Linked DNA regions of Arabidopsis thaliana. The protein of the gene in region 1 interacts with the protein of each later gene in a pairwise test. Each region holds a gene or a part of one and is shown in the gene's direction. Other genes may lie near its edges. The genes, in order: PIN5, AT1G65720, PIP1C and GPT.

What was found.
Region 2: the proteins of PIN5 (region 1) and AT1G65720 interact in a protein complementation assay, tested with the Arabidopsis thaliana proteins (one large-scale study listed by BioGRID).
Region 3: the proteins of PIN5 (region 1) and PIP1C interact in a protein complementation assay, tested with the Arabidopsis thaliana proteins (one large-scale study listed by BioGRID).
Region 4: the proteins of PIN5 (region 1) and GPT interact in a protein complementation assay, tested with the Arabidopsis thaliana proteins (one large-scale study listed by BioGRID).

What each region holds. Positions count from the first base shown.
Region 1 is NC_003076.8:5,398,017-5,403,799, forward strand, and holds PIN5 (Auxin efflux carrier family protein), read left to right. Parts: upstream 1-2,623; 5' UTR 2,624-2,718; coding exon 2,719-3,380; intron 3,381-3,888; coding exon 3,889-3,974; intron 3,975-4,067; coding exon 4,068-4,225; intron 4,226-4,379; coding exon 4,380-4,456; coding exon of another isoform or gene 4,457-4,460; exon of another isoform or gene 4,461-4,537; coding exon 4,538-4,610; 3' UTR 4,611-4,829; downstream 4,830-5,783. Other genes in the region: ZFN3 (zinc finger nuclease 3), read left to right, coding at 5,421-5,478, 5,577-5,737. UniProt on the Arabidopsis thaliana protein: Auxin transporter regulating intracellular auxin homeostasis and metabolism. Mediates the auxin transport from the cytosol into the lumen of the endoplasmic reticulum. May also act as an auxin efflux carrier when located to the cell membrane.
Region 2 is NC_003070.9:24,438,458-24,443,505, reverse strand, and holds AT1G65720 (uncharacterized protein), read left to right. Parts: upstream 1-2,432; 5' UTR 2,433-2,492; coding exon 2,493-3,035; 3' UTR 3,036-3,854; downstream 3,855-5,048. Other genes in the region: YSL7 (YELLOW STRIPE like 7), read right to left, coding at 489-867.
Region 3 is NC_003070.9:224,433-229,821, reverse strand, and holds PIP1C (plasma membrane intrinsic protein 1C), read left to right. Parts: upstream 1-2,278; 5' UTR 2,279-2,645; coding exon 2,646-2,973; intron 2,974-3,130; coding exon 3,131-3,426; intron 3,427-3,510; coding exon 3,511-3,651; intron 3,652-3,740; coding exon 3,741-3,836; 3' UTR 3,837-4,157; downstream 4,158-5,389. Other genes in the region: AT1G01630 (Sec14p-like phosphatidylinositol transfer family protein), read right to left, coding at 98-393, 479-616. UniProt on the Arabidopsis thaliana protein: Water channel required to facilitate the transport of water across cell membrane. Its function is impaired by Hg(2+).
Region 4 is NC_003071.7:17,299,014-17,305,446, forward strand, and holds GPT (UDP-glcnac-adolichol phosphate glcnac-1-p-transferase), read left to right. Parts: upstream 1-2,558; 5' UTR 2,559-2,748; coding exon 2,749-3,131; intron 3,132-3,209; coding exon 3,210-3,297; intron 3,298-3,385; coding exon 3,386-3,477; intron 3,478-3,566; coding exon 3,567-3,685; intron 3,686-3,793; coding exon 3,794-3,909; intron 3,910-3,998; coding exon 3,999-4,126; intron 4,127-4,220; coding exon 4,221-4,307; intron 4,308-4,471; coding exon 4,472-4,532; intron 4,533-4,626; coding exon 4,627-4,667; intron 4,668-4,749; coding exon 4,750-4,870; intron 4,871-4,957; coding exon 4,958-5,017; 3' UTR 5,018-5,198; downstream 5,199-6,433. Other genes in the region: LIS (WD-40 repeat family protein / small nuclear ribonucleoprotein Prp4p-like protein), read right to left, coding at 5,306-5,497, 5,601-5,798, 5,901-6,357.

The sequences.
Region 1 (5,783 bases):
CCATGGTTGAAAACTTGTTCTTGCGTCTTCTCTTCTCTGGAAAAACGAATGTTTCCAGAATAAAAACACGAGATGTGAAGCAGAAGAGTACAACAAGTAGGTGCTGTAGCATATATTGAGTGACGAAGCAATGAAGGAACAGATTATTGTGAGCCACAAAATAAATTAAGAAATAATACAGTAGTGAAGTCGTTTCAAACAGAGGATTTATTCCACCTGCACTTGGAGGAGTTTCCTCTTTTCATAAGTCTAAAGAACAAATTTGCCTTTAAGAATAATTCTTCTGTGTTTTTTTTTAATATGGAATTTGAATGAAAGATTAGTGTGTGGATATGGATAATTAATTATATTTAAAAAATTATGTAATATTGATATGTTTGTAGTTTGGTTTCCCTTTCTATTGGCTGCTATTTACTTCATTCTTTCAATGATTGACGTTGAACTTCTTTTCGACCAAAATCAAAACATCCTCTCCTTTATGTATAACTTTGTTTCTTCTGATTTGATTTGTAACATTAACATGATTACATTTATATATAGTATATAATACGTAACCATGCATTTAACTTGGTACTTGGATTCGTTTATGAAAGATTGAAAGGAAAACGAAAGTTATATGATCACTACTCTTGAATTCGAACTCTAATTTAGGAAGAACAGTATAAACCCCAACATATAGTGTTTTCTGGTCTGAAAAACTTTGATTGTTTTGTTTTTGTGGTTTGGGAAAAAACATCAACATAATATTCATGACGTCAAAAGTACAAAACAAATAAGATGGATTTTGAATAAACTTTCCAATCGTGCTAGCTAGCTATTTCTGACATAATTCAAGAAGAATAATGAAAATATGTCACACAAAAACAAAAGTATTAACGATGAATGAATGAATGAGAGAAGACAAAAACCTTTTTGATATTAAAAAGACTGTAATATATATCAACACATCAGGAGAGAAATTTGAAAGCATATTATAGATTTGTAATCATCAAGTGATAAATAGAACTTATTCTACTAGCATTATTATTCATATTTATATATGATCCCTCAATTTCACCAGTGAATAAGCATCCTCCACGTTTTCACAGATTTCTAATCCACCGATTTTAACTTTTGTTCCATCAGTCAAATCCCCCTTTTTGTTTTTGTTTTAGTCCGACTATATATATTTGTTTGCTTATGTTTTTCTATTTGTTCCAAATCTTTGGTAAAGATAGGTGTTTCCATAAAATGTTATTATCAAATCAAATGATAAATAAATGCTTTCCAGATCATTTTATGCCTCTGCATGATTCTCTAGTAATTAGATCAAATCAATTTTCTCATCATGAATATGTGTAATAGAAAAGACTTTGTGAATGGACAATATATATGGTTACAAAACAAAAATATACCATAGAATTAAAAAGTGCTAATATGATGATATTGCACCTAGCAATATGTGTTGTTGTGATTATATTAGAGTCCAGAAGGCAAATAATAAATTTGTTGTCTAGCAAGAAAGGACAAGAGCACGAGGTACAAATTTTTCTGTAAACTTTTGTAGTTCTTGAATGGCTTCCTCAATCCTCACGATGATAGATTTTTCGCTAGCTCGTAGTATAATATGGTTCTTTGATATTTTAACAAAGAAGAAAGACATGGCCATATGATTTTTTATCGAACGAAACATAAAAAACAACGTAAAACATGGTTTAAGATAAAAGTAAGTAAGTTATTTGTAGACTTCTCTATCTATCTATATATTAACATATTCTAAAACCCATGACATGTTATTTCTTAAACCATGAATATATTGAAACATTCAAATCATCACTAGGTATAAGTAAGTGAAATTCATTTTCTTATAAGAAATCTCTCTTTGTCGGTTATGAAATTGGTTGCTATCGCCAGGTCGTAGGGCACAAATACCCATTTCGGCATATATACAAACTATTCCATGCACTTTACTTATATTACATGCACTAGCATAGTTCTGCTCCCATTTTATGAAAGTGGTTAATAAATATAAATATTAAGATTAAGAAAAAAACGATTAAGCAAATATTTCGAATAAATTATTGAAAATATATTATTTGGTTAGTCTCATGTGTTGTGGCGACGAGTTACGACAGCCAAAAACATATATTGGTCGAGACGATCTTCTAGTTATGGTGCTAAAGCTGCAACCTCATTCTTTATTCTGCGACATTACCATTAATTAATATAGTCAAATATTGAAAGAAATGTTTACGTCATACACAAACACTACACTCACTATTTACAGGAAACAATTGGAATAGAATCATATGCCACGGCACGGTCTGGTCAATTATATTGATAACGATAACTCTCTTGTTTCTCAATTAAACTAATGGCTAAAAATATGAGGTTGATTTTAATTTTTTTATCTAAATATTTAGACTCAAATTTCAATTGTATCTATTCTATAGGAATTTAGCCAAATTATTTATAAATATTCGTAATCATATTCCGAAGAAAAAAATATTATTGTTTAATTTATATCTAAACTTTACTTTTGTTTGAATATTACTCATGGATATCTCATTACCTATCTTTTTTCTACAACAAATAAAACAATTAAAAATTTATCTATAAATATGAACATGTTGGTTTCTCTATCGTAACACATTTACTATCTACGAACGAATTTAGAAGCTTTGTTTTCTTTCCTTTCGTTTGCTACTACTGCAACATTTCTATTTTTCTGATAAAACCATGATAAATTGTGGAGATGTTTACAAGGTAATCGAAGCAATGGTTCCACTCTATGTAGCCTTAATCTTAGGCTATGGCTCTGTGAAATGGTGGCACATCTTCACGCGTGATCAATGTGATGCTATAAACCGTCTCGTTTGCTATTTCACCCTGCCGCTCTTCACCATTGAGTTCACGGCCCATGTCGACCCGTTCAACATGAATTACCGGTTCATCGCGGCCGATGTCCTCTCTAAGGTCATCATAGTCACGGTCTTAGCGTTGTGGGCCAAATATAGCAACAAAGGAAGCTATTGTTGGTCCATTACTAGTTTCTCTCTATGCACTCTTACTAACTCTCTTGTCGTTGGTGTGCCATTGGCTAAGGCAATGTACGGACAACAGGCTGTTGATCTGGTGGTTCAATCCTCGGTATTTCAAGCCATCGTGTGGCTCACACTCTTGTTGTTTGTCTTAGAGTTTAGAAAAGCCGGATTTAGTAGTAATAATATCAGCGACGTACAAGTAGACAACATCAATATCGAAAGTGGAAAAAGAGAAACTGTGGTTGTGGGAGAGAAGTCGTTCCTTGAGGTCATGTCCCTCGTTTGGTTGAAGCTTGCAACGAATCCAAATTGCTATTCTTGCATCCTTGGGATCGCATGGGCTTTTATTTCTAACAGGTAAAAATGAATCTTTAATTAAACTTTATATTGGTACCTATAAGATGTTTAACAAAGTGTTAATTAGTATGTGTGATCAGGGACTCAGGAGACTACATTAATTCCACCCCTTACTCCGAGGCAACCGTTAAAATTGCCTAAAAATATCTATAGTTTGACGTTTAAACCATCTAAATTATTACTTTTCTGTGTAGCGCCTGATGATCTATAGTTAAAATTTTGACAGAAATATAGGTCACGATTGTTTCTTTGCATTTGCGTTTATATTTCCATGTGACAAATGACTAGGACATTTTTAACATGGTAACATAATTTGCAAACGTGACATGTACATGCAAATAAACTAATCATGATTTTAATCTGAATATTAGAGTCTTTGACCAAATTTCTATTTTATTTGTTTTAGTGTGAATTTTGGGTTTAGGGTTTTGATTAGTGTTTTGTATACTCTTGGCTAACAAATAAAGACTTAAGTCTAATAATTGATGGAAATTAATTGGAAATATAGATGGCATCTGGAGCTGCCGGGCATATTAGAGGGTTCGATTCTTATAATGTCAAAAGCAGGAACAGGAACGGCCATGTTCAATATGGGTACGTTTATTTATGTCCATGCAAGTATCTTTCTATACGTAAAGATTACGTATCAGTATTGAGATAACAGTGAATACATGCATATATACGCAGGAATATTCATGGCACTTCAAGAAAAGTTGATAGTATGTGGAACAAGCTTGACTGTGATGGGAATGGTATTGAAGTTTATTGCCGGACCGGCGGCCATGGCCATCGGCTCTATTGTCCTTGGCCTCCACGGTGATGTCCTCCGCGTAGCCATCATTCAGGTCATAAATTCTACTTTATCCTTTTGTACCCTAATTCTACTGAAGTTTGTATATAAAAAAAAAAGTAGATCATTTTCCATTCATTCATCCACTAAGATACTAACTTTATATTTTTCAGTTTAATATATCATTAATATTTATATGAAATTTACAGGCTGCTTTGCCACAATCGATTACTTCGTTCATTTTTGCTAAGGAATATGGATTACATGCAGATGTTCTAAGCACAGCGTAAGTCCAAATTTTAAAAATTCAGTCTATTTAAGAAGAAAATGGTAATATGAAATTAAATTAAAATTTTGATAAATGTAGGGTGATATTTGGGATGTTGGTCTCTCTACCTGTGCTCGTCGCCTACTACGCAGCTCTGGAGTTTATTCATTGATTAAACTAATAAATTCGATTATATCATCAATATTACCCTTTGTTCATCTTTCACAAGTTTTTTTTTTTGTTATCTCTTTTACACTTTCCTCCTAAAGGAGATTTTGAAGTATATTCGAGATATGAAAACCATTAACTGAATGAATTAACCTAGTTTATGCTTAATTTTATACTTTCTTAAGCTCTCTTTATTTTCGTAGTATGCATAATTTAGTATTTTGTTCACATATACGTATCAAGAAAAGATAAAAACTCTATAAATGAAAATACATCATGTTCGGATCTAAAATTGTTTTAATACGTACACTAAATATTATAAGCCCTTTTTTTGTTAACAAAAAAAAAAAAAGAATAAATGAAACGAAATTCAGGTTAGAGATCAAATAAAATCTTGTTATTATTTGATTCATGATCATACATACTAACCAAATCAGGATTTATGAAATAAATTATTCTTTCTCCTCAACCGAATCAATATGAAGATAAAAGGGGTAATTTAGTCTTTTCGAATTCGTTTTTCTTACCGAATCTCTTTAGTTTTTTTTCTTTCTTTTGTGTGGAGGAGAGAAGAGAACGCAACACTTTCTTCCCAATCTCTCTCTGCTTTCTCTCTCTAGACGTGATCTCTAATTCTCTAATGTCTTCCTGCATTGCCATTTCCTCTAACCCCTCCACAATCGGAGGAAGACGATTCCTGGGAGCAAGAGAAACGATGGGACTTCCCATCGGAAAATCTCTTAGAGTGAGAGAATTATGGTGTGTTCTTAATGCTTAATAATCACCGACACAGCCATTGTTCTTCATCATCTCCATGGATTTTGATTCCATTTCTCGGGAAAGCACTTTTCTTTCCCCATTGCTTAACCAAAGTACCATCCTTTATTCCCTCTCTGATGTTCTGATTCAATCTTAAAAACCTCAGCTTGAATTTTTGTTGTGGGGTTTTGGTTGGGTTTGTGAATTTTAGATGCAATGTGGCAAATGAACTTGGGATCAGATGATACAATGGGTGTTGATGGGTCTTATCCGGAACGTCACGGAGAGCCAGATTGTGCTTATTATATAAGGACTGGACTTTGTAGGTTTGGTTCAACTTGCCGATTCAATCATCCTCACGACCGGAAACTGGTACTGACTCTGTTTCTGTGTTTGTTCTTTCCTCTGTATCTTGTTG
Region 2 (5,048 bases), on another chromosome or scaffold:
GCGTCATGTTCTCTATCAACTTGCCGTGTAGATATGGTTCTTATTTTATAACAAAAAAAAAAGTCATACACATTGCTCTCGGATATGAATCTCTCACGTCACTCACTAATCAACTTTGATTTTGACATACTAAAGAAAGTATGAAGTATCCACTTGATTTTGACATACTGCAAAGAAGTATCAAACCCATACACATTTATTTTTATCAAAAAAGATCGTGTGATATTAGTTTCCTAGTCTAGGTTTTAACTTGATCGGTTTTAATTTTTTAACTATTGCACATATTATATTTTTTAAACAACTATATAGTTTATTTAATTTTCATATTTTTTTTTAGAAAGCGATAAACACAAAAAAGAAGTATATACTCTGTCATTTTCAATAGAGACCTAACAGCAAAAAAGTTTTAGCCGTAAATAGAAACAAAATTAAAGACGGCGACACCAAATTCCATCGACGCGTTCACATCAACAAACAAAAAAACGTACCGCTAAAGGCGATGCCGGAGGAGGCGACGACACAAGTCTGAATCACAGTATTCTCTTGCCGTGTAAACGGTTGTTTAAGAAAACCAGCTTTATTAAGAATCTTAGTCCAACTTTTAACAAAGAAGAAACCAAGCAAACCGGCGGAGATATTCAGCGACGGAATAATCCCAGTCGTTAGATTCAGTTTCATCACCACAAAGGTAAAGAGAATCGCGAGTATGAAACTCACGATTAGAGCTCTGAACGTGAGCTGTTTTTGCCACGGCGGTGGGATTTCGTTACTCTCTTCGAAGATTCTCTCCACGGAGATTTCTTCTTCTTCGTTGGATTTAGATCCATTGTTTAGATCGTCGTCTTTCTTCGATCGTTCGACTTCCATAGCTGAGAGTTTTTGATTTGATTTGAGTCAGATCTGAGGAGGGGAACGAGAGAGGGAGAGATTTTATAGAGGAGAGGATCTGAAGAGAAGAGATCGGCGAGAGAAGAGGACGATTTTCTTGTAACTGAATGATTCTCTCTATTGTGTGAGTGAGAGAGAGAAGCGAATCTGTTTTAATATTTCTATATTTATAAGTCAAATGTGTTTTTTTTATAAATAATTAACCTACGTGCACGTGGACTATGGTGTGGTGTGTATACACAGTGTAAAATCTGAGTTTTTTCTTTGGTGTGGATTTAGAGTTAATTAAATTGATACGTAAATGGATTTTGGAATTTAGATTATGACATGTTTACGTGTTAAACGAGCCAATTATGACGGGTCGTAGATTGTATTAATCTTAACAGAATTAAGTTTTAGTTGCAAATGTGTTTTTTTGAAAAGAATTAAAATATTAAAATGAAAATACACGTAAATATTGTTTGAACATTTGATTTCAGAACAATAGTCGTTTATATAGTGAGTTGTTCTTCAAATTACTTTTAATTTCGGAGTACTTAACTATTAACCAATATTTTTTATAATTAAAGATTACAAGGGAATTTTACTTTTTCTACCACAATTTTCCCAAAAAAAAAATATTTCTATCGCTTTTCAATAGTACCAAATTATTTATGTGGAAAGACCAAAAAAAATAAAAACTATGTGTCCAAACGTTTACACCGATTTGACATTTTCATTTTTATGTTCTCTCACTACATTGTTAAAGACTCTAAACGTGAGCTGGCTTTGCCACGAAGGATGATCCTCATGGGCTCATGGCTGGCCTCAAAGATTCTATCATGTCATGTCGTGGCATTTGAGATCGTCATTTTTTTCCTTTATCGCTCTGTGACCGCTGCTAAATTTAAGTCTAACCTAGCTCTTTGTTTACAAGAAAGGAGAGGATTATTTTAAATAAGAGAAAAGTTGGAATATTCGAAAGTGTCGTGCTCTTATTCTATGGTACGAGACTATGAGTGACTAGATAGAATTTTCATTTAGATTCTCTAACCATAATAATTAGGTAAAAAAATCTTAGCTATTAATATTGACTAATAAATATAAAATGTGAAAGTTTGACTATACTATATTAATAAACAAATGGTTAACTTGATATTGACCATGAATGCATCATTAACTTGCTTAGAATAACAAAAATCTTATGAATTTATAACTACTAGAAGTTTGATTATATGCGAGGTGGGTTCAGACTATTCACATATTACACAAACTATTTGTGGTATTAGAACTTGTATAACTTGGACAAAATTCATATCAATTAACAATTAACCTATTGAAAATTAGATAAATAGAGAAATAAATCTATTGTTTGCTTATGTGAGTATAAATAATGAGATTTAGACTTAAAATAGTTAAGTCAAAATTAAATAATATTTTGGCACCTTTTATAAGAAAAGAAGATAAAAGGGACCTATATGATCAAATACAAAAGTAGAGGGGTTATTTCATAATAACACGTATCTTAGAAAATCTTTTTAATCTTCTTCGTTCACCGAATCTTCTTGGGTTAGGTTTGTCTTCAAAATCGTCAGAAGAAGAAGAAGAAGTCAAAGACGATAACAATGACGTCATCATCGTACCTCCGATTTGCGATCGCCGTCGTAGCTTTCCTCTCAATCACCACCATCACCACCGCACGTCCTTGCAAAACCTTCCTAATCTCCTCATATTCCCTCTCAATAACCCCAGAAAACCCTAACCTCGAATCCGATTTCACCTCCACACGATTCGTCACCGTTTTCACAATCCGTCGTCTAAATCCTCACCACGTGGTTCCTTTCTTCGTCAATCGTCGTCACGAGAAGCCACAGATCCAATCGGATCGTTCCCTCCCTTTGATCTCTGATAACATCAATTCGTTTAGAGATCGAACCAGAGATATTCTTAGCGTCGTCGTCGCGCTTTTGTTCGGTGTTGGTTGTGGTGCTTTAACCGCTGCTACTATGTATCTTGTTTGGGCTCTTGTTGTGAATCGTCAAAGCTATGATTTTGAGGAAGAAGAAGATGATTATGAGAATGATGAATCTGATGCTGCTAGCTTGAAGAAATTGGGTTATGTTAAGATTCCAGCTCCAGCTCCTGCTCCTGTGAAGGAAGCTGCTTGATTTGAGGTTGTGAATTTCAGTTTCTGCATATTATCATGATTTACGTTGTTGCTTATCTATGTTGTTGCGTACAAGTAAATTCGTCTCTGTTATGGATTTATCTAAACTTACTATACTCTAAGTATCAGTGTTTTTACGATTTGTAGTTGATGTTTCTTAGATATATATAAGTGTGATTATGATGTTACCTATGGATTTATTCATTATCTTTGATACCAATGTGACTAGTTTAGGAGCTTAATACTTAAATGGATTGATCATCAAAGGAACCAAGGTCGTGACTCGAGAAGTCTGTTTCTTGTTTTCTTTCTGACTTGCTAGAACCTAACTTGGTCGCAGGATATGTGTATGGTTCTCATAGCCCCATTTTGTGGTTTAATAGCTTTCATTCTTTCAAGCACTGATTAGCTAGAACCTAAGTAGGTCGCAGGATATGTGTCTGATTCTCGTTAACCAATCTGTGTTTTGAACAGCCTTCAAGCATTGGGAGTGTCTAGTTTTCTATTGCTTATGGTCATATGTGTGTATGGTTCTCATTGCCCCATTTTGTTGTTTAATAGCTTTCAAGCATTGCATACTTAAGGTAGTGTCTAGTTTCGGTTCCGTTTCTTGTAATCTTACTGACTAGCTAGTAGCTAGACTTTTTAAGTAGGTAGCAGGATATGGGGATGACTCTGGTTGACCCCAATCTGAGTTTTGCATAGCTTTCAGAGCATTGAGAGTGTCTAGGTTCTATTGCTTATGGTCATCTGTATATATGGTTCTTATTGCCCCATTTTGTGGTTTAATAGCTTTCAAGCATTGTGAACTTTAGGCAGTGTCTAGTTTCTGTTCTGTTTCTTGTTATATTTCTGACTACCTAGTAGGTAGACCCTTTTAAGTAGGTCGCAGGATATGTGGATGATTCTCATTGATACTAATTTCTGATTTGCATAGCTTTCAAAGCATTGAGAGTCTCTAGTTTCTATTGCTAATGGTCATCGTTGTGTATGTATATAGCTTAAAGGTTGATGTCTTGGATGCAGAGGAACAATTAAGTGCCTTATTCTCTCTAGTCTAGTAGTTATTTGCCTTGTAACAATCCTTTGTTATGTTACTATTTGATTTGAGGTTGTTTTATGTATGTAAAATCCAGTACCTAATTGTCTTGGTAATAGAATCTATAGATGTCTCAAAATCGGTCCGATTTTCGATTGTCAACACAAATGGTGCAAGATTTTGCTTTCTACATATATACTCTTTTCTTAAAAAACTACCTCAAAAGAACCTAATTGTCTTGGTACTCTTTTCTTAAAAAACTACATATATATTCAAAAAAACTACCTCAAAAGAAATTGTTTATCGTTTCTTTTTCAGTATTTTAGTTATCTGATAAAATAAAATAAAATTGTTTTTGGGTCCTCCACTATACATATGAAGAAACTTGCACATCACCATTCAGTTTGGTCACATGAGTTAATATTAATGAAAGCACTCGATTAACAACAAATATCATTAATCAAACTCAGTAAATTATTTATACATAAAACGAAATTTTATTTTCAATAGAAACTACTGATGTTTATTTCTTCATATCCTAATTTGTAACCTCATATTCTTTTGGTAAACAAACAAAACCATCAAACATGCAAATAACCGTTGGAATTCTAAAACTTATTAAAAGAATTTTTGAAGAGAACCATTTTGCTTTGAAAAAGGCAAAAAGGGTCAGAGATAATACGACATTGACTGCAGTGTGTATAACGGCTCCAATTTCAAAATTACTATCTTTAATAAAATAAATTAATTCCACTTTGACCCCATTATTCTTCAAAGCTTACAATTTCACCCGACTTTTCTTAATTTTAGAAAGTAATGGGTCCTATCCGAATACTTTCTGAAATAAAAGAACTTTTGTCTGTCACAAATCGCATTACCAAACAAAAAAGTTTGAAGTTTTGAATCTTTTTGTCTTCTTACACAAAAGACATTCCCCTAAAAACTCTCTTGTTCTTGACTCACTTCTACTTCAAA
Region 3 (5,389 bases), on another chromosome or scaffold:
GACAACATTCAAACAAACAAAAAAAGAGCATTAGCATAAATGGTTTCTTATATACCCACACTAACTTAATGTATGTAGTAATATTATTATTATTCACCTAGCACAAATCTTCTCGAGCGTGTAGACAACAAAACGCTTGAACTCGTCAGGGTTGCCTTTGGAAGGGTTATGTCTGTTCCCAATGGCAACAGCGATAGGTCGACCCATCTTGTCATGACCTTGCATACACATCTTGTTATGCGATAGATCATTTGCAATCTCTGCTTCTGGTATGTGCCCCTTTGGGAGCATGCTTCTCTTCCAAGTCAGGTAATTTAGAAACATCGTTGAAGCCTTTTCAATGTCCAGGTCACGCGCTCTCAGAAACCTCCTTATCATCAGATCATCCACCTCCTGCAAATCCAAATCATTAGGGCTTTTATCAAATCAATACTTTTCTGGTTGAATTCTTTTTTTACTTAAAGAAATCGATAGGGACCTTAGTTTCAGGATCTTGTCGGTCGCAGAGAGCTCTCATGATCCCGACTTTGCTCCTCTCGATCTCATCTTCGATCAACGGAACGGTCTTTTGCTCAGCTGCTGCTGCTGGTTCTTGCTTGGTCTCTTTGTTTTCCATTACGTTTCTCCTGTGAGCGACGACCAGATCTTGAAATTGGTAGAGAGAAGAAAGAAGTAGGATCGATCATAAATGAAGACAGCTGCTGAGAGAAAGATTTTAAGTGTCATTCAATGCAAAGTTGGGCTGCTTTCCCCTTCAATGGCGACGCTCACCAACTACTCTCTTCCTTACAAAAATTCTACTCATTTATTGACTAATCCCAGGTCCCCGACTCTACAGGAAGAAGACGATTATATCGTATTGGGCCTTATTAGAGCCTATTGGGCTCGAGTTGATTTGTCGTAAAGACTTGGTCTGTGGTTTAATCAATCTCTCATGCCTCAAAGTGTTGACTGATTCAGAGGCCGTTTTAGTGTTTTGAGCCCACGTCAGAAGCTTGTCTGTCGTCTGTGTGTATAAAACAAAATTCAATTCACGATTTTTTAAAATATTGATCGTATCTTTTTCCACATGTATGTAAGCAATGAAGGATCTGCTTCGTTGCAAAATATTAGTTTTTCTTTTGATAGGCATGTACCAACTAAGTACCAGCTACGTACACAGACAAAGTCAGTAACAATTAAAATTCATCAACCTAGTCATTGCTTGTTCATCAATCAACCTAATCATTTGTTTGCTTGTTAAATAACAATGCCAACGTTATTATTTCTATTTCTATACTATCATACATTCATACGGTCCACGCCTCTAACAAAAAAAGATATTGATAAAATTTAAAAGATAGATAATTCGATGAAATGAATTATAATGAAATGTGATTTGTACAACTGAGAAAGGATGTCATATACGGACTTTGGTCGGGACCGCCCCAGTAAACACCACCAACACATATTTGCCTCTTCAACCACGTGTCGTGATTCTGTTGGTTGGGCAGCTAGACGACTGTGATGTGTGTGTGTGGGTTGCGTTTCGAAAAATGGCAAACCCCACCACTAGTTCAATAAAAGGTGTTTCTTAATCATATAGTTTAGCTTCGGATTATTTGTTTCCCTTTTCAGTTTTTTAAAAATCGATATCTACAATAGAGTTAATCTGTTTATAAATTCAATTATTGTTCGGGTAAGACAACATCAACAAAACTAATAGGGTTTGAATCCTAAACACTAAACTCCATTTAACTAGTAAAGTATGGCTCATATAGCGTTAAAAATATGTGAATTGATAACAACAACAGAGTTTTGAATTTTATTTTTGTTAGGTTTGAATAGATTGATAGAAAAAGGAAAGTGGGAATAGGGAAACGAACATGTGATCACAGAAAAGCAAAATCCATTTCTGAGCTGGAAACCCCCGCAAAATTGAACCTTATCTCCAATTTTCATTTTCTTTTTTTCTAAAATATATATCGTTTAATTGAAAAACCTCAAATTCACAATCATTGTGATTATTTTGTCACTAGTAGTACACATAGTAATTTAATTAAACATTTTAAAAATACTCTAGGCCCGGCACAATGTTCGAGACTATGTTACTTTACATAAAGCAATCGCTTTCCACACACTTCTTTTCCTTTTCTTCTCCAACGGTCGGAAGTAAATTATTAATTCGTCGACTAGTCAAAAAGTTAGTCCTTTGTGAGTTTTCTGGCACTGTAATATTTTTTTTTACATTTCTAACTGCTGACTGAGTAGTACTCCTGTAGCAAGGCATTTGAGAATAAATTAGGTCAAACATGCTATCTTTATAAGGAGTTTCAGAATATAATACTAATAGTTAGCCAACGCAACAGAATTAGTATAAGCGTGGGTTGTGTTACATGATTAAACATCATCAAGTAGTAGGCTATTACAATTATTAACGTAAATAAATATGCTTTTACGAAGATCATCGTTATCCATGATTCCCTGTATTTCTCATTATTTAAATATATCATAATAGTTTCGAGACGTTAGTTTTTTTTGCTTTTTCTATTCTCTCTCTCTCTCGCCTCTATAAAACCATTCTTTCTCTATCTCAGCCACTCTCATTACCCATTGTAGAAAAGAAGAAAAAAAGCAAAGAACACTTGAACGTTTTCTAGATAGAGATGGAAGGGAAAGAAGAGGATGTTCGAGTGGGAGCTAACAAGTTCCCGGAGAGGCAACCGATAGGTACATCGGCTCAGACGGACAAAGACTACAAGGAGCCACCACCAGCTCCATTTTTCGAGCCAGGCGAGCTGAGTTCGTGGTCCTTCTACAGAGCCGGAATCGCCGAGTTCATAGCCACCTTCCTGTTTCTATACATAACAGTATTGACAGTGATGGGAGTGAAGAGAGCACCAAACATGTGTGCCTCTGTTGGAATCCAAGGCATTGCTTGGGCTTTCGGTGGCATGATCTTTGCCCTTGTCTACTGTACTGCTGGAATCTCTGGTAACCCCATTTTTTTTATCTTCTTAATACAAGTAGAATTGGTCTTTTGTTGCATGCTTCAAACCCTTGTAGCTCTGCTTTTAGTTTTCGATTTTTCTCAAAGAGATCTTAATTTAGAGTTGATTCTGATGAGTGTGTGTGTGTGTGTGTTTCACAGGTGGGCACATAAACCCAGCGGTGACATTTGGTCTGTTCTTGGCTCGTAAGCTGTCATTGACGAGAGCTGTCTTTTACATCGTGATGCAATGTCTCGGAGCCATCTGCGGCGCCGGAGTTGTCAAAGGCTTCCAGCCAAATCCTTACCAAACTCTCGGCGGAGGAGCCAACACAGTCGCTCACGGCTACACTAAGGGCTCTGGTTTGGGTGCTGAGATAATCGGAACCTTCGTCCTTGTCTACACGGTCTTCTCCGCCACTGACGCCAAGAGAAGCGCTCGTGACTCCCACGTTCCGGTATAATTTTGTTTTGATTCCTCTTAATTTATTGTTTTGGGTGTTTAGAAAAAGATTCATAATTTAGGGTTATTTTTTTTGCAGATTTTGGCACCACTCCCAATCGGATTCGCTGTGTTCTTGGTTCACTTGGCGACGATTCCAATCACCGGAACAGGAATTAACCCAGCTAGGAGTCTTGGAGCTGCAATCATCTACAACAAGGACCACGCTTGGGACGACCACGTGAGTACCCCATTACATCATTTGGTTGATTTGTCTTTCTATATGTCTTTGTCACTTTGGTTTGATTGTGGTTTGATTGTGGTTTGCAGTGGATATTCTGGGTCGGACCATTCATTGGAGCAGCTCTTGCGGCTCTTTACCACCAACTTGTCATCAGAGCCATTCCATTCAAGTCCAGATCCTGATTTGATTTCTTTCTTTATAAAACTTCATTGTTGCATCTTGGTTTGTAATTGAGCTTGAAAATATTTGAGAGATCTGGATCATGTGTTTATTTTAATTAATGGACTTGTCTTTTTCTTATTTGCTGTGGATGATCTGGTTTTATCGTTAAATGGAGTTTGATATTATGATTGATTTGGTACGATTTTAATTTTGCTTTTGTCGTTAGACTCGAGAAATTTTCAAGAGGAATTTGTTAATTTGATTTTCTTCTGGTTTGGTTCGGTACAAATTGAGTAAGATCCATATTGTTTCGGCTTGGTTTCTCGGGTCATCGACTCAACTAGTTTACGTGGTATTTAGCCCATATTTACATTGGGCCTCTTGCGCACTCTTTATGGGCCACGTTAACCAAGTGGGTATTAAGCCCATTTACATTGGGCCTTTTTCGCACTCTTTATGGATACAACTAGTATCCCATAATATGTCCATCAACGGCATCACTCCACCTTAATTTGTTGCGATAGATAGCCAACCAAGTTGAGATAAAACATTCTTACTTATTCTACAATAACCTCGTCAAAGTGGATTACCTACCCACTGCTTCACACCTTTTTTTTTTTTTAGTTTTTACTTTTCAGTTTCATATCTTCAAAGTGAATGTTTATGATAAGTTTGTTATCTTCTTGGAAATAAATTCTATTTCATAATTTTCATTGTACATAATTGCATGCATATTTTGGTAATTTATCTCAAACACACATATATGTATACACGCATAAGTCACTTTTCTTTGTAAGCTAAGGTTCACGTGATGCAGTTTCAATTTCCATAGCGTGTAAGTAGTTATTATACTCATACTAGGGGAATACTGTTACACTCATATCCGTAAGTATGAATGCATATGGCTCAATGGCTCTCCAACTCCCAACTATTTTACCGTTTTATTAATATACCATTGACATTTGAGTGACCATCCATGATACGCGGACAAAGAAAAAGAAAACCGTCTTAATCCCTTAATTATTATAAATTAAGGAGTTAATTATTTAAACCTAGTATAAAGTCAATTAACTCAATTAGCATTATAACTCTGTCGACGGCTCCTTGATACGTAAATATTGCAATCAAAATTAAATGCTACCAATATATAAAAGTCATTTTCATATAATTAACTTGGTCAGGCGGCCGTCGACTTTAATGTTTCACGTATAGTTGGATACTATATAGTATATACACACAATGCCAACCCACATATTATAAATTTATAATAACTCACCCAATTAATTATACAGCCTTCCATTTAGGTGAACTACTAAACTACTTTCTTTCATGTCAATCAACAAAAAGAAAGTAACTGAACCGCGTGTGACCAAAATTATATTTATGTATACACCAAATTCCATCATCTAATAAATACCCTAATCAAATAATCACTCATATTAACTTAAATATATTAGAAAAAAATAAGTGTCAATTGAAACCTTTGTTACGAATCATGTGATGTGAACATTTAATTTCTCATGGAGATAAAGAAATAAGAAGGGTTAATTTTGTAAAGATTGAAAGTTTAAGG
Region 4 (6,433 bases), on another chromosome or scaffold:
ACAAGAAAAAAAAAACAGTTTTAAACAACAACAACAACAACTTCAAATATATATATACATCCTCCCAAAATATTAATGATTCGTTTGCTTTACTTAAAGCTTCTTTGCTATATCCTCAAAGTTTAGCAATCCATGAAATAAACAAACGTGTTCACAACGTAATTCAGATATAAGCCGTCACTATTTTTCCCCGTTCACATCAGCCTCACTTGTAGTTTTGTCTCAATCGAAATCATTGTTTTTATATTTACTACAAAAAAGAATCTAATAATTGAGATCGAATATAGAAGAAAAATGAAATACTCGTTGTTACATTTGAAATTCGTAACGTATAGTGTCTCTGTCTGTATGGATGCGTGACATGTAACGTTGTTACAATATATCTTGGTTATCTATATTTTATTTCTTACTAGATAAAGCCCGCCTAAATAAGCGGGTATAAGATGTAAATGTAATTTTTATCGATAATATTTAAATTTTGAATAGTAAAATAATAATCGATACATTGTTCTTGATATATAATTTTGAATAGTAAAATAGTAGTCTTATGCATTTTATTTTGTTATACCCATTCAATCTTATTGATGATATTTGAAGTCTAAATAGTAACCTACACACTTTTTCTTTATTGTAATTTAGTATTTAGAAGAAAAAATAAAATTTTATCTTATACATTCAATTTTGTAATACAATTTAACTATCTATTTCATAAAAAACTCGATTTTAATTTTACACACTTCATCTTACTTGATAATGATTTCATGTCAAAATAATATATATATATAAGATCAAATCTATATCTTAGTTAATATTAAAAATTATTAACAATTAACAAAACATAATTCATAATAATAAAACATTTGTTAATACCATATATATTAAAAATTTGACCAATAACATATATATATATTTTTTTTGTTAATTTTCCTTTTGGTTAAGAAAAATAAAATGTAATATTTTTTAGATATAGAAATATGAATTAGTATATGTTAATAATGATTTCTTTTTTTAGTTTTCTATTTCTTTAAGAAAAAAAAAGTTAATTATTTTCTTACACATGGCAACATCTGATCGATAGACTTGACACGTGGCATAATCTTATGAGTTAGTAACTTTGAAAACCATACTTTATATAATAAGATTTTTTTTTGTTAATTTTTCTTTTGGTTAAGAAAAATAAAATGTAATATTTTTTAGATATAGAAATATGAATTAGTATATGTTAATAATGATTTATTTTTTAGTTTTCTATTTCTTTAAGAAGAAAAAAGTTAATTAATTTATTTTTTAGTATTTCTATTTCTTTAAGAAGAAAATGGTTAATTATTTTCTTACACATGGCAACATCTGATCGATAGACTTGACACGTGGCATAATCTTATGAGTTAATAACTTTGAAAACCATATTTTATATAATAAGATGTTGATTTATTCTTACTTTTTTTGCTATATCTTTCCTTATATTTCATACTTAATATTTTTTTTTTGTTTCTAAGATACATACATTAACTCTCATATTTATTGTCTTAACTAAATTTTACTTTTATTTGTACACGTGGCTTCCCCCCACAATATTTTTGACCCAAATCCAAAAAAAAAAAAACACTATCAATAATATTTCCTCTTACCATTTATGTCTTACACACAAGTGTCAAAATATAGTAGAAGACATAGAAAATGTTTAGATTATGATTAAATATCACAAAACTTTTGTGACATAAATCATGATCCATATGCATCCAAGTTCTAATAATAGGTCGATTCGATCTTGTAAAAAAAAAAAGTAATTAATAGTAAAAGATTTTGTATTGAATTTTGAGATATTTTTCTCTCACTATAAAAAGATGAATTGTGTAGCTAGAGATCATAACAAACTCTGAGGAGATTCAAGCTAAGGTACATTTACAAAAACTTATTTTAAATTACAATGGGTTGTTGCATTTTCGAAACTGATCCTACAGACCAATAAGTACTATTCAGTTAATTTGAAAACACTTACAAAAAAAACTAAGATATAATTTAGCAACTTTAACATTTTTTATTATGTTTGTAGGGACATTAATGGGAAACTGGTGTAGTTGTGTAACAAAAGATGAAAATAGTGATAATTCTAGTAGCTCTCAAACTTCTACGGATAAAGAAAGTAGTGTGCAAGTTTCTTCTGTGAGCACTACGTCTTCTTCAGAGATTTCATCTGAATGTTCTTCTTCAAAATGATCATCTCAAAGCTCCCAATGATGGAAGCGTAACTAGTGAGCAAATGTCGCATGGATCATCTTCTTCATCTTATCAATAAAAAAATCTTCAAAATAAATAATTTTCTATGTCAATTTTTATATTAAAAGAAACTTTGTTAAAAATTATGACTATTAATTAATAACTATATTATTACATAATCTTTTAAATATAAGTTTTAGTTTTAATTTTTAATAGTTGCTTTATGTCATGCTGATGTGTTGCTACAACAAAATTCTTAGCAAAATTTATGCATTTTTTTCTTAAAAAAAGAGAGTTCTATAAGTATAATCCAAGATATATTCTTGTACTTAATACGAATAATTAAAGTTATGATTAATCCATAAAGTTCTATTTCGATGACACGGTGTCGTATTTGAAGCGACGTGGCAAATCCTTATTGGTCTATATGACGCAGAACGGGAATTGCTCTGAAGAATCCTTTCTCAGGCGAACGGAGTTTGGAGTCAAAATCCAGAGCGCGGGGAAACGAAACGAGCCAACAAATCCGCCATGGCAGCTCGTAAGAGAGCTTCATCGATCTCAATTCCCAACAAACCGGACCCGTCGGAACCCAACTCAGCGCCATCGGAGCAGAAGATGACCCGAAAGACGGTTTCTGCTTCCGGTGAGGAATTTCGTCTCGCGCCGCCGAAATTAGGAGTGATCTTCGTGATCTCTACTCTTCTCTGTTCGCTCTATCTATACCTTCTCTGTTTTCACTACAAGGTTGATAATGAGCTCAAGCGATCGATTCTAATTAACGCGGGGCTTAGCTTGGTTGGGTTTTTCGTCACTCTCAAAATGATTCCTGTTACTGCCAGATACGTTCTGAGACGTAACATGTTTGGTTTTGATATCAACAAAAGAGGCACGCCTCAAGGAGATATTAAAGTGTGAGTTTTTATCAATCTCTGATTTTCCAAAGATTAAGATTAGTTTGATTAAAATTTCTTCATCCTCTTTGTTTTCAGGCCAGAGTCATTGGGTATTGTTGTTGGTATTGTCTTTTTGATCGTGGCGATAATATTTCAGTATTTTAACTTCACTGAAGATTCTAATGTAAGTGTGCATTAACGTCTTGTTTTATTAATCTCTGTGGTTATTCTCATTATCAATGTTTGTGAGTCTGGCTGATGATTCTGTGCAGTGGCTTGTGGAGTATAATGCAGCACTAGCATCTATTTGCTTCATGATTTTGCTTGGATTTGTAGATGATGTCCTTGATGTGCCTTGGAGAGTGTAAGTCCTAATTCCTACATATTTTTTTGATGAAATTCACGCTTATCGTTTTTGATTCACATGTTTACTGTTGTCAATTTAAACAACAGAAAGCTTGTCCTGCCATCTTTTGCTACCCTTCCACTTTTGATGGCTTATGCTGGTCATACAACTATTGTTATACCAAAACCTCTTGTTGCTTATATTGGCTTGGAAGTGCTTAATCTAGGTAATGGTTCTTGTACATGATACCACCTATTTGTACACATTGACTTGTATTTTTCTTTTGAGGAGGTAAATGATTATGATTAGCTCAATAGATGTTTTAACGTGGCAGGAAGGATATATAAGTTATATATGGGGCTACTTGCTGTCTTTTGTACAAACTCTATTAACATCCACGCTGGTCTGAATGGCCTTGAAATCGGTCAAACAGTTGTTATTGCCGCTGCTGTAAGTCTTATGGTCATACATAATGTCTCTGAATTTTTCTCATTTTGTTTCTTTTGGGTTGAGATATGATGCATCCCAGTTACCTGTAGATCCTGATACACAACGTTATGCAAATCGGAGCATCTGTTGATCCCGAGTATCACCAAGCTCATGCCTTCTCGATATTTCTTACTCAACCGCTGATGGCCACATCCTTGGCAATGCTTGCTTACAATTGGTAAAATCCCTAGCAGGCTTTCTCTTTAAAACTTTTTTTTTTTGAGTGGAAGTAATGATATTTCTGACCAGTTCTCGCAATCTTCTGCTGTTAGGTATCCTTCTTCAGTTTTTGTTGGAGACACTTACACAGTCTTCGCCGGAATGACTATGGCAGTTGTTGGTATTCTGGGTCACTTCAGGTATACTTCCAAACCCACTTATCTTCTCTGAGGCACAGGCACTTCACTAATACATGGAAACTACCAACTCTTAGATTGATCATTTGCATCATATATCCAGCTACTGTATGACCATGCAACTGATTCCCATGCCATCTTTCTGTATTGAAATTTTGCTTCTGCAGTGAAACCCTCCTCATCTTCTTTCTTCCTCAAGTTCTGAACTTTCTATTATCGCTTCCTCAGGTTCATATCACCTTTTCACTCTTCTATGGCATACGTATAATCTTGTCAACTCATGTTTCAAAAATTTAACATACTATATATGATAACTCTTCAGCTTGCTGGGATTGTGAAATGTCCGCGCCATCGTCTCCCAAGGTAACCCCCTTTGTTTTCTTACCCTTTGTAGACTGATTAAAGAACAGACGCATCACTCATCTTGTCTTTTGAAAATATCCAGGTATGATCCTGCTACCGGATTACTGACCGGCACAAAAGATGGGACACTCGTCAATGTTTACTTGAGGTTGTTTGGTCCTAAATCAGAAAAGTCTCTTTGCATCCATCTTCTCGTTTTCCAGGTAGGTCTCAGATATATGTATATCGCCATTCGTATATAATGAAGTAGTCGCTTTAGTGTTGTCATACTCTGCTTGTTTTTGCTACAGGCTCTAGCCTGCGCCTTCTGCTTCATACTTCGACACTTTCTTGCTGGTTGGTATAAATAGTCTGCAATCAGAGAAGTCACAAATACAGAACATTACTTTAGTACCTTGTACAATCGTATATATCAACAATTTTTGTTAACGTGTTGAAGTATTCTCAAGTAAACAAAGTTCATTCATTTGCTTTTTGTTGAACGAAATGGCAAAATTTTCAAGACAATGTATCAGCATCCTGAGTTTCTATAATTCCCGACAAGAGATCAAATACAATTTAATGAGTTTCTCTAACAAGCTAATCTCGAAATCCCTAGATCCCAAGTTTTTTTTCTTGCACAAACATGAAAAATGAAACTAGAGATCTATGTCCATTGTTTCTTTCTCTTCGTCTTCATCATCATTTCCACTGCTTGTCCATAGCTTGATGGTGCGATCATGTGATACAGTAGCGATACACGAGCTATCTGCTGTGATATCTAGAGAGGCGACTTTTGACTCATGCCCTGCTAAGCTTTTAACGAGCGAGAAATCTCTTCCTGACCATATCTGGTAGACAAAATATAAGAAATTGGAATCAAACTATAAGCCAATGAAACAGAAGACTGAAAAAAAAAAAAATACTAAGGCAAGGGATTATAGAAGTAGTTACATTGACTTTCATGTCGTATGAGGCAGTGGCCAGAAAGTAGCCTTCTTGTGGCTCATACTTCACTTGAGACACAAGGTTAGCATGAGCTGGTATAATGTACAATGACTTTCTCATTCTTAGATCCCAAATACGGCATTGATTATCCTCCCCACCAGATGCCAAGTGATAACCATTAGGAGAGAAATTCACGGAGAAAACCTGAAGAAACATATAAAACAGAGGATATTAAAACAAGGGTTAGTAAATAATCACTTTTGCTTGGATACGAGGAGGACCAATGGAACAAAATTAGAATCTTACCGGTTTGATGTGTCCTTGGAAGACAAGAATACTCCTACCAGTGCGGAGATCCCAAACTCGTGCGAGTGAATCAAGCCCACAAGAAGCTGCTAATGCTCCATCTTGTTGAAATGCAATTCCGTAGACACTGCGGCTATGGCCTTCTTGCAAAAGCAGTTCTGCTCCTGTGTTTATATCCCACAATCTCCACGTCTTGTCATAGCTTGTAGTTCCCAGGTATTTCCCTGATGGGTGGAAAGCAACACGTGCCAGACGATCCAAATGACCTTCAAACGTTTGTAGGAGTGTTCCATCAGTTTTCCACAGCTTTGCAGTTCGATCAGCAGAAGCAGTCGCTAGACAATCATCCACTGGGGAGAACACTACATCAGTTGCACGTTCTTTGTGATCCTTCAAGACAGCAATCGTGTTTGTAACTTGAGGCATCTCCCACAATTTAGTAACTCCACTCAGAGAACTAGACAAAAAAAAAATCGATGAATTACTAAACAGAAGGGAACTATGTGAATCACACAAGTCATGAACCTAGAGAA